Mus musculus: one gene and its partners. The protein of the gene in region 1 purifies or fractionates together with the protein of each later gene. This does not show direct contact. Links are inferred from orthologs where the notes say so. Each region holds a gene or a part of one and is shown on either strand. Other genes may lie near its edges.

The links.
Region 2: the proteins of Rmnd5a (region 1) and Maea purify together in Homo sapiens (affinity purification with mass spectrometry; 5 studies listed by BioGRID and IntAct, counting the BioPlex papers as one, with this or other methods). This does not show direct contact. The link is inferred for Mus musculus from reciprocal best matches to the Homo sapiens genes RMND5A and MAEA.
Region 3: the proteins of Rmnd5a (region 1) and Gid4 purify together in Homo sapiens (affinity purification with mass spectrometry; 4 studies listed by BioGRID and IntAct, counting the BioPlex papers as one, with this or other methods). This does not show direct contact. The link is inferred for Mus musculus from reciprocal best matches to the Homo sapiens genes RMND5A and GID4.

The regions. Positions count from the first base shown.
Region 1 is NC_000072.6:71,438,043-71,441,790, forward strand, and holds the start of Rmnd5a (E3 ubiquitin-protein ligase RMND5A), read right to left. Parts: upstream 2,596-3,748; 5' UTR 2,098-2,595; coding exon 1,956-2,097; intron 1-1,955.
Region 2 is NC_000071.6:33,334,611-33,338,358, reverse strand, and holds the start of Maea (E3 ubiquitin-protein transferase MAEA), read right to left. Parts: upstream 2,788-3,748; 5' UTR 2,783-2,787; coding exon 2,714-2,782; intron 2,252-2,713; exon of another isoform or gene 1,948-2,251; intron 1-1,947.
Region 3 is NC_000077.6:60,437,626-60,441,273, forward strand, and holds part of Gid4 (glucose-induced degradation protein 4 homolog), read left to right. Parts: intron 1-817; coding exon 818-948; intron 949-3,648.

The DNA of each region.
Region 1 (3,748 bases):
GGAAAATAACAGATGCCACAGAGGCATTGTTACACAGAAATGTTTAAAAAAAAAAAAAGAGGCTGCCAATCAAGAACAAGCCCCACTACCTGTTATAACAGCATGGTATATACACTGTGCCTACTACCCCTCACACCACAGGCTTTGTGAAACATTCCCTTACTAGCAAAGAGGCCTAAAATCCCTGACCTGGCAATTTTTACAATCATTTTAACCATCTGGAACTGACTGCAACTTCCCTAAAACAAACCTCACCACCACTTCTCCTCTTCCATAATCACTCTTCTGGAAAGGACTCTGTTCTCTATCTTTTCTCTCTCAAGCAACCCCTCAATCTCTGACCTGGTCCCCCAAAAGGGAGTATTCCTTCTGCCTCTCCAGGTGTAGGCCCTATGTTCATTCTCGTCCCCTACTGGCTTTCTCCTTTTCGGTCAAAAGACAAAGATGTCCTCTGGGAAAGGGGGGTGTTCGGTGTCTTTAAGCCCTGAGCTAGGACCACCTTGGATTGACTGCCTTCTACTTCGGTATGCACTATTTTTTTCTTAGCCTGAAATAATCTGGTTTGTCCACAAAATGTCAAGTACCAGCTAAGCAGCTCTCTTTTTATCCTTTTCTGCCCTTTTCATTTCTGCTCTACTTTGGTTGTGTTTAGAGCCTAAGATCTTTCATCTCACATCCTATGATCTCCACTGTCCTTCTAGAAATATCTGAAAACACAGAGGGGCACACTGGGAATCCCAACACTAGAAAGATGAAGACAAGATTATAAATTCAAAGCTGGCTTGGGCCACACAGAGAGATTTTACCTCAAAACACCACAAGCAAAAGAAAACAACCAATTTTAGCTCACATATATTCCAAGAATATCTATATCTATCCATATATGTGTGTATGTATATATGTAATATATATATATATATATTATATATACACCTCACATATATTCAAACCCTTTAATCTCATGAGTCAAAATTCAACAGATTTTCTCACACCCCACCTTATTCTGTTAGCATCAAGTATACCATCACCATCAATTCAGTCAAATAATCTTTTCGCATGAAGCCATCAACATGTTTTGCATATATTTATACAGCGTTCCAAAGTGACAGCTGTGTCAGAAGTTGTCAGACTCCTTTACCAGGGAGGAGCAGTCACCCACAACTGAAGTGTTTGGGAAATAAAGGTGTAGAGGAAAGGAGAGGAGAGGCAGGGCTAACACTGCCTTAATCTCACCTGCTACATCCTCATTTCTCCCTGACTAATAAATATCCCTTTAATTTCTGTTCAGCCCACAAAACTGACAAGGGCCCGGACTCTTGAGTAAATCCATAATATTACAAGTCCTTTATCTCTCATTCAGAAAGAGTCAGCATTGTGGCTCCAAGGTACCAGACCTTTAGTGTTATTTTTAAAACACAAAACTCTTTCTCAGAGTTAGCCTTGGCATCTGTGGTACAAGACGTAGGGCCACTGATGAAATAACGTAGGCAAAACACCTTCTACGGAAAAGCTGTTTTCTGAAAGGATTATTAACAAGTACAAACTGGACTAGGTAAGTAACTAGCAACTCGACATCTGCCCGGTCGGACTGTACAGAGGCTACAGCAGGGACGCTGAATGGTTTAAATCGGCCGGCTTCCTAGGAAGAGTTTAGAAGAACTGCCTGCCCACATCAGTCCAACTCTGAAGTTGCAGCAGCCGATGATGTAGAAACCAACCCACAGCTAAGAACGTTAAACTAAGAACCATCAGGGAGAAAAGTCTGCGAGGCCGAAAACTAGACAAAGTCCTGCGCAGACCCTCGTTATCACTCGCACACCTGCGGCCCGCAGGACCCCGCAAGACCCCCAGCCCCGCCCCAGGCCACCGCGTTTCCGGGCGGGTCGCCGCGGCCTGGGGACCAGCAGACGCAGCGCAGGGCCCCGACCCCCGCGCGCCCACGCGCCCGCCCTCACCGTGGCTCTGCAGGATCTCGTGCTTGAGGCCGCCGGTGTAGTCGATGAGCTCCTCCAGGCCCCGCTCGCACAGCTGCCCGTAGCCCGAGAACTTGTGCAGCACCTTCTCCAGCTCGCGCTCCACCGTCACGCACTGATCCATGCCGGAGACCGCGGCGCTCGGCTCCCCGGCGCCCGGGGGTCCGCAGTGGTTCGGCCCGGGCCCCACCGAGGCCGCGTCCTGCTCCTCCTCCCCCAAGGCGGCGAGCGGGCGGCGCGGGAGGCGAAGGCAAGACGGGCGCGCTAGCCGCGGCGCCGGGGGAGCCCCGCGCAGCCTGTGCCCTCCCGCCCCATGGCGCCCCGGCCCCGCCGCTCGCGCTCGCTCGCCCGCCCTACCCGGCGCCGCGTCTCGCCCCGGGCCCCCCTGGCTCGCCGCGTTCGGCCGCCCCTCGGCGGCGCCGCCGATTGTTTTTGTTTTCACGGGAACCGGCCGATGACCTGGTTCTCCCGGGCGGCACCAATAGCCGCGGCCCGGGAGGGGGTCGAGCCTCCCTCACGAGCGGAGGAGGCGGCGCGGGCCGTACCAATCGCGGACTCGGCGAGGGGTCAGGGGGAAGCAGCGGGCGAGCACGGGCGGAGGGCGCGCGGGCGTTCTGAAGGTGTGGGCCGTACCACGCGGGAGGCCGTGAGGGAGCGCGGCGAGGGCGGGGCGAGGGCGGGGCGAGCGACGCAATTGGCCCGCGCAGCTGAACAGGGAACTTTAGCGATAGCGTCAACTACGCGGCCGGTAAACAAGAGGGTGGAAACCGTCCCCGGATGCTCCGCCCAGAAGCAGAAGAGTGACCAATCGACGCGGGGGTTAGGAGCGAGACAAACATCCTCCAATCCTGGGCCGAGGCGTAAAACTTCAGCCAATCCAGACTGAGGAGCCAAACCAATGCGCTCGCTGTTGGAGGGGGGTTGGCTTGAAGAGCGGAGCTTGGCGCTTCTACTGGGAAGCCGCGAGGGGAAACATGACAGCAATTAACGGGGCTGTTTTCTCCAGGATTTCGCCCTGATTGCAATTTGTGTTTTCTCCGCATGGAATTTTGGCCGGAGTTTCGACTGAGAGGCCCACCTCCGGGGCCAAAGGATGTCTGTCTGGCCGCCTAGTGGCGGAGGGCCCGGGCGGGGTCACTAACCCGATGGAAGGTGGTAGCTCTTAGAGGGATGGCCCGCGCCCAGCGTTGGCTCGTTCTTGACGCCCCTCGGCCTGCAAGTGGCCTTCCCTGTCGCCTTGTCCACGTGCTGGGCATCTTGGCGGCGGTCACGAACACGCGTGGGCGAGCTGAGCAACCTGGCCCTTGCTCCTTGCCCTTACCTTGGCGTAGGGCTTTTGCCCTGGTTTACCACGGGGTTCTGGCCTTGGCCTGTGCCCTCTTGCTCACCAGGCTTCTACCCTACTAGCTTTTCGTCAAGTCCCTGCCTCACAGCCTGGGCCTGGGAGAGTCCGCCTTCCTGGGCCTGCAGTTGCCAGCTTGCTTGCCTGCTCATAGCATTCCTACTTCCACCATGGTTGTATCACCTCTGCCTCCCCGAATTTTCTCCATCAATTCATTGTATCTCTTACAGCACAATTTTTTTTTTCTCTCACACATCACTTGTCAAAGTCTAAAATAATAATTGTTTGGAGTTTTGCTTGTTTTGGTTGCACCACTTAAGTAATACTATGAAGGGTAACCCCTTTTGTTGTGGCCTGTTTGTTTCTAGAACACAGCCAGCACCCTGGTGGACAGTCTTTCTTTTCCTTTAATTCAGGTGGTAACCTTTTTAAA
Region 2 (3,748 bases), on another chromosome or scaffold:
CCATGCCCAGGGTCAGGGGATGCCACCATAGCCCCTCACAGGAAAAGAAGATGGCTGCCAGGTGCCTGAGACTGCAAAACAGACATCTAGGTCCACTGCTTAAGCCACCCGCCAGATCCCAAGGCTGCACATCTGAAGAGGCCTTGCTCTGCAGGTGAACAATCTGTCAATAAACATACATAAGTTATGAAATGTTCAAAGAATAAATCTTAAAAAATTTAAGTCTGTCCAGTATACTGCAGTCCCAACTGCTTTTGGGGAGCCCTCCAGCCACCAGTCTTCACTTCTGGGAGGGATCCCAACCCACATGCCATACATGCATCTGGACCCTCCTAAGGACTGACCACAAACACCTCTCTCCTGGTATTCTGATTGATTCTGTCATCAAACACTTCTGAATCAAAGTATAAAGTGCCCACCATCAATTACTGTTGAAAAAGTACAGAAGTGCAGCTAAGTATGCATCTCAGTTGGCAGGATGTTTGCCCATCATGCAGATGTCCTGGATCTGATCTCTCTCACTGCACTGCCTGGAATCCCAGCATTCAGGAGACAGTAAGAAGGATCAGAAACTCAAGGTCATCCTTAGCTATCCCAGTGAGTTACAGCCCAGCCAAGGCTACAACAGACCTGTCTCAAAAAAAAACAAGTCAAAACCAGCCAAACAACAACAATGTAAGGGGAAAACGTGAACAAAGCAAAGATACACTGTCAACAAAGCAGAGAAGTTATAAGGCAAGGGTCTGCAGGACCTGGAGGGAGTAGCATTTCTACTCACAAAAACTTTTCTTTCTATCATTCGTCAAAGAGAAAAAAAGAAAAGAAAAGGTGTGATTCTGTTTCCATGACACCACCACCTCTCTGTACCTGCACAGAGATCCACAGAATCGTTTTCGTCAGAGCTGTGCAATAGCTTTGGAATGCAGAGTGCATTCCTGGTCACCAGAGGACGGACTGGAGGAACCCTGACCATCCATTTCACTGCCTAATGCGTTCAGTAAGCCAGAGAGGGAGGGAGCTCTGAAACCTTTCCTGTCTGTGGGTCCCAAATTCACCAGCCAGAACAAATAGCCACGTTCTCCCAAAGCAACCTCATTGCAACAGGTCTGGAAGTCCTGGCGAGGCCCAGACGTCAGTGGTTACAGGTCTAGTGATAGAAGGCCCCAAGTATGACCACTGTTAAGAGTCAGGGTTTCCATCTGTCAATCAACAGAAATCCAAGAGTGCCAGGAAACTACAGGATTGGTAAGAGTCACCTGTAATCCCAGCACTCGGATTCATGGCCTACAGAAGCCTGCCTCAAAAAAAAAAAAAAAAAAAAAAAAAAAGAAAAGAAAAGAAAAGAAAAGAAAAGAAAGAAAGAAAACAAGGCCTGAGGATGTAGCTCAGTAGCAGAGCATTGGCCTAGCACGTACAAGACCGAGGTCTGTCACAAGTACCTCCTACTCCCCCAAGCCATACATTTTGAACATCTGACAAAAAAGACTGGTGGTGTTTGCTCCCTTCCTTAGTCAAATAAAGCACAGGATACAAAACATTGATCAAATATGGCTGCTCACCAACTATAGAAGAAGGCCAGCTGGGCCTTGCTTCTGCCCTCCTGTGAAGACAAACTACTCCAGAGCAGTCAGATGTCACAGGGACAATGACAAGAGATGCCTTCCAGGGAATGCCAAGACTTCCATGTGCAATATAAGCTCGCTCACTTCACCCTCGGGGAGGAAAACAAGTGCTCCCTAGGGCTTACATCAGACAAGGGAACACCAGCAGAAGTCAGGTGCCTCCCATACAATCTGGGTCTCCCTAAGCACAGAAAAAGCGGTCTCGCCTAGAACCTGTAGTCTTCAACCTTAGCTAAACGACCCACCCACCCACCACCAAACAACCACTGGGTCACCAAAGAGATGGATGAGGTGCCAAGAGCTCCAGAAGAAAAGCTGCCCAGACCTCAGCCAAGGAATGTAGAACACGAAGGCTCTGCCGGCCTTCCTTGGAACCAAAGAATTTTTTTCTTCCTCTTAAGGCTTTTCTTCCCAGGTACTTCACCGCAGTCCATCCGGTACCATCAAGCCCTCTAGCAACTGAAGCCTCCCAGTCTTCCGGCGGGGATGAACGTTTGTCCTAAAGGAACGCACTGGCGCAGCGACCACCCAAGGTCACGCCCCGGAAACCAAGGGCAGGAGCTGCGCTGGAGTTCTGGGGACGCCCAGCGAGGCGGGGTGCCACCGGGTCGCCAGTGCTCCCCACTGGCCCCCTAATTAGCACCAGAGGCATGCCCGCCACGCCCCAGGCCGAGCTTCCGGAAGGACGCCCCGGGGCCGCCGCGACCCACCTCCGCGTCCAGGGCCCCTGGTTCTTTAGTGCCCGCCGCCCCGGCCGTGGCCTCGCTGCCCGCACTCGCACGGCCCGCAGCCTCTCGGCTTTGAAGGCTGGGTGGGAGGCAGGGCTCAGGCCCCGCCGCCCGGGCCTCGGAAGCCCTCTGACTCTGTCGCCCCGCACCACCTAGGTCACAGTACACCGAGAGGTCCCCCTTGGCCCCATCGGGAGGCCCCGGCCCGTGCCCATCGCGCTGGAGAGCCGCAGCCCCACCGCCCCCGACCCCGCCCCCGGCCGTGCAGTCCCTCCAGAAGCGACTCCGGCAGCGACCCAGCCCCTGCACCACCACGACCCCTCCCAAGATGCGGTGGCGACCCTAGCCGCGCCTAGAACGCACCTTGAGGGTCGGGTACTCCTGCACCTTCAGGGTCATGGACAGCTGGGCCGCCGACTCCTGCACCGCCATCTTGGGCCGGCCGAGCGGAGGAGGCGGGTACGGGGCACGCCGGATAGTGACGTGCTACGTACGGGAGCAGGCGGAGCGGCTATGAGTCTGCACCAATCGTGTCACCGGGCCGCCCGAGCGGAAGAAGGCCAGAGCCAATCATCTTTCACGGGCTCGACCAATCGCCGGCAGCTCTAGAGAGCGGCTTCCTCATTGAATTGTCCGCTGGCGTAGGCCGCAGATGCGGATTTAGTAGAGCGGGGATCCCGACGCCATGGACGTTCGGAGGGTTGGGGCTGAGACGACTCACGTTGTGGTCGCACCCCCCCCCCACACACACACCTCCGAAGTCGCCTCCCGTAGTGGTCACAGGCCCTGCCTCAGCGCTCGGTGGCCGTTATCTCTGAATGGTCACTTAGGGGTGCGGTTTTTGCCATCCGGGAACTACTTTCCTTCATCTCCATTTTCGCCGATTAACAGCTCTGGCGTCCAAGAGCGGGCTTCCCAATAAAAGATAAAGAATGTTTACAATAGAATAAGACAGGGAGGGGCTATCGAGCAGCTGTGCTTTCCTGCCAGTAATAACATAAGGAACACTTGGGAACTGCATTTGTGAAAAAGCGATGAATCCTTGATTTGGGGTCCAAAAGGCGTCTGAAGGTGTCCAGTCCCTGACCTAAACTTGTAGTCAAGTTGAATTCCTGGAGCAATAGTAATGATCAGTTAACATCTTTCTGATAAACTAAGCAACGTGGATCTTCCAGGGCTCCTGAGTGAAAGCAATTATCTGTGATGTAGGCTTCACCCTACAGCACATGTCACAAGACCTGAGAATCAGTCTGTTCCCTAAGGCAATGAGGACTTCTTTAAACCACCTGAAAAACAGAATTGAAGTAACTATCAACCAGACCACACCTTGACTGAGATTGCTTAATTATCATGCCTTTTACCTACATTCTAATTCTTCTATTTTGAACTCAATTTGGC
Region 3 (3,648 bases), on another chromosome or scaffold:
ATGTTCTACTACTAAGCTAGACCTCAGCCCTAAATTAAACTTTAAAATGATATTTGAAGGTTGAAAAAGGGAGAAAAGAGTGTCCATTAAAAAAAAAAATACTGGAGAAGATGGAGAGTGTTTGTGGTAGAGCATTTGTCTAGCACGCACAAAGTCCTGAGTTTCATCCCAGCATTGAAAATTAAATAAAAAGTTTGTTAAAGCAGTGGATTTGTCTCCAGATAATTTCTCTTTTGTCCGGTCACCTGACGCCCTGGGCTTCTGACTCTGTCTCCCAGAGACCAGGAGCAAGGGCATAGCCTTTCACTGCTTGTTGCCAGTTTAGATGGCAGATGCCTGTCTTTGTGGCACAAATGGTGCTGTTTCTTGGCTTTGGTGAGGTATCATGGGCATTCTTAATTCAGTCTGACCAGAAACTCCAGTAGATGTGCTTACCTCATTGTTAGAGGCAATCAAAACCCAGTGACAGGTCCTGGGAACCAGAACTGAAATTTATTCTTTCTAGGTTATTCTGTCAATGGTCTCCAAGAGGTACCAGGTGGGTAGGCAAGTAGGCAGGAAAGTAGTATGGATTGGTCGGTTAGATCCAGAGCTATGTTTCTGTGGGCTTACCACAGTAGGTAGGATACTGCAGTAACCGTGAACACCACCCCCAAACCAGGCAGAAACCCAGCAGTTGAATAGGACCATGTGATCATGGTTTTTTGTCTTGTTTGGGGGCTTTTGTTATTAATTGTTTTGTTTCTAGCAGTCTTTAGAACTCTCTGGTGTCTTACTGGAAAGGGAAGGTCTTGACTGGTCCCATATCTGTGTGCAGGAGCAGTTCCTAGTCCCGGACCACACAATCAAAGACATCAGCGGTGCTTCCTTTGCTGGTTTCTATTACATCTGCTTTCAGAAGTCAGCAGCCTCCATAGAGGGCTACTACTACCATCGGAGCTCAGAATGGTAAGGACCTGTGGCCAGTACTACCTCAGACATTGGCCTCAACTCCAGCTGTCACATCTGGAAGGAGATTCTCCCAGTCTACTTCTGTCCAAATCTTGTACTCTTTGTGTGTGTTGAGGTCATTTAGATGGTTTCACATTGAAAAGGGACTCTTTCCTATCTAGAGAGTGAACTGAAAAGTGGTTATTATGTAAAGATATAGTCTCTAAATACTGTAAAATTTTTTAGACTTTTTATTTAATGTGTATGCATGTTTTTCCTGTATGTATATATGCATACCACATGTGTACCTGGTGCCTAAAGAGATTGAAGAGGACATTGGATCCCCAAGAGCTAGAGTTATGAATGGTTGTGAGCCACCATGTGGGTGCTGAGATTCAGGTCTGGATCTTCTTCTATCTGACTCTCCAGCCCCATTTCTCTCTCTCTCTCTCTCTCTCTCTCTCTCTCTCTCTCCCTCTGTGTGTGTGTGTGTGTGTGTGTGTATGTGAGAGACAGACAGACAGACTCACACAGACACATAAACACGCTCTCTTACAAACACACTAGAGGTAGAACCTCATGCTTGTTATGTGGGATGCAAACCAAGGCCTTGTACATGCTAGTATGTAAGTAACTATTCTATCACTAAGCAGCACCCAGTATATACTTTCAGGCAGTGTTGCATTTTCAGGAATGATTACCTCAATCCTGATAATATATATTCCTCATAAATTTACCAGTAAATTAATGTTATCTCTTACAGACAATGTGACTTTTTAGTTACACCCTGGCACTGCCTCTCATGCACTTGATCTTGGGCTGATGAATGAGGGGGCCATGAGAGTTCACCTTCCTACCTTATGCTGCAGACCCTCTGAGTCCCTTTGTCTGTGTGGAACGAGTCTCTGAGGCAGGTGGACAAGGCGTCAGCGGGTGACAGACAGACCAACATTCGAGATTGTGTAGAATCTGAATGTAATGTCACAAAGTGAACACCAATCTTATATAGTACAGAAAATACAAAGGGTAGCAGGCAAAGTACATTGAAGTTACTTGATACAAAACAAAGGAATGACAACAAAGGGATTTACAGAAACCAGGTAGATGTTTACAGTAAAGATAAAGCAGTCCTGCCTAGGGTCAGCTTAGTGACAGGTAAGGATTTCACACTCTAGTGCTATACCTTTGAACCTTGTGAAAGCTAGCACCAGGGGGTTCTTCTGCTCTTAGCAGGCCTCATGAATAATGCAACATCACAAACCCCTCTCCTCCCCATTTCCTAGGCCTTGCCAAACCCCCACATGAGTGTAACTTTTAAGTAACTGGAGAATCTCCATTTGTCAGAAGAATTCACCAACTTGCTTCTAATATGCAATGTAGCCTGTACTGAAGATTTCTATCTCAGTGGAATTCCCTGGCACTTTCATGGTAGTCCCTTGTTTGGGTGCGATTTGCTACTGTCCTTAGTAAATACTTTGCAGACCAGCTCTGAGCTGCTGGCTCCATCTTTTGTAATGCTTAATTAGTTACTGAATAGGTAACTTCCTTACTGCATTCTTGCTGGATTCCAAGCTTCTGGGACCTTGGGACACTGGGGAGACTTAACTGTATCAGAATTTAATCTTAAAAGGCATTTATAATAAAATATCAAAAGAGAGCTCGTAGTTCCATACACCAGACTAACTCGGAAATAGGGTATGAGTATATGGGTAAATGAGAACGCCAAAGCTCCAGGAGGTGAGTTTCCGTGAAACACTTTTCCTCGTTGAGTGCTTACAGACTTTCAGCCTGTCAAGCAGACTTGACCGGAGGGCGTGGCAACCTTATGTTCCTCCAAGGCTAGGGACAGAAGGCCACCTTAAGTGCTGGCTTTTGCCAAGGGGACTTTCTTGTTTCCTTCCTATACCTTGAGAGTTAGCTGTACCAGTTTATTTATTCTTTGAAATGGAGCACTGTGGGCTGGAGAGATGGCTCAGCAGTAAGGAGAGTTTCATGCTCTTCTAGAGGACCCAGGTTTAGATCTCACCACTCATATGGTAGCTTACAGCTGCCTGCAACTCCAGTTCCAGAGAATCAAATGCTCTTTCATTCCAAGTACCCCCACATATGTAGTACACATAAACTCACACAGACTCACACACATAAATAAAAGTTAAATACATTTTTAAAAAATAAAATGAGACACTAATTTCTTTCCGTTTTTGTTGTTTTAGTTTTTATTCTTACTTGTGAATGACCCTAGCCTACATCGATTCAAATTCTTTGTTCTTTAGTTTTGTTTGTTTTGTGAACCTAGGGACTGAGTTACATTTGTTTGTTTGTAGACATAGTTTACTGTGGTGACCATAAACTGAAGAGATCGGGAACTTGTATTCTTCTGCCTCCAGCTCCTGGGTAGCTCGGATTACAGACCTGCACTCCAGGCTTGACTTTTGTTTTGTTTTGTTGTCATTTCAGACAGGCTCTCACTATGCACCCTTGGCTGAAGAAGAACTCTATGTAGACTAAGCTGGCCTCAGACTCAGAGAGATCTACCTGCTTCTGCCTTCATGTGGTGGGATAAAAAAGGCTTGTATCTCTAGGACAGTCAGGGCTACACAGAGAAACTGTTTCAAAAAAAAAAAAAAAAAAAAGCTTGTGTCACCATGCCCAGCCCCAGCCCCTTAGGGCCCTATTTTTGTGAACTGTATTACAATTATTTTGTAAAAGCAATTCTTA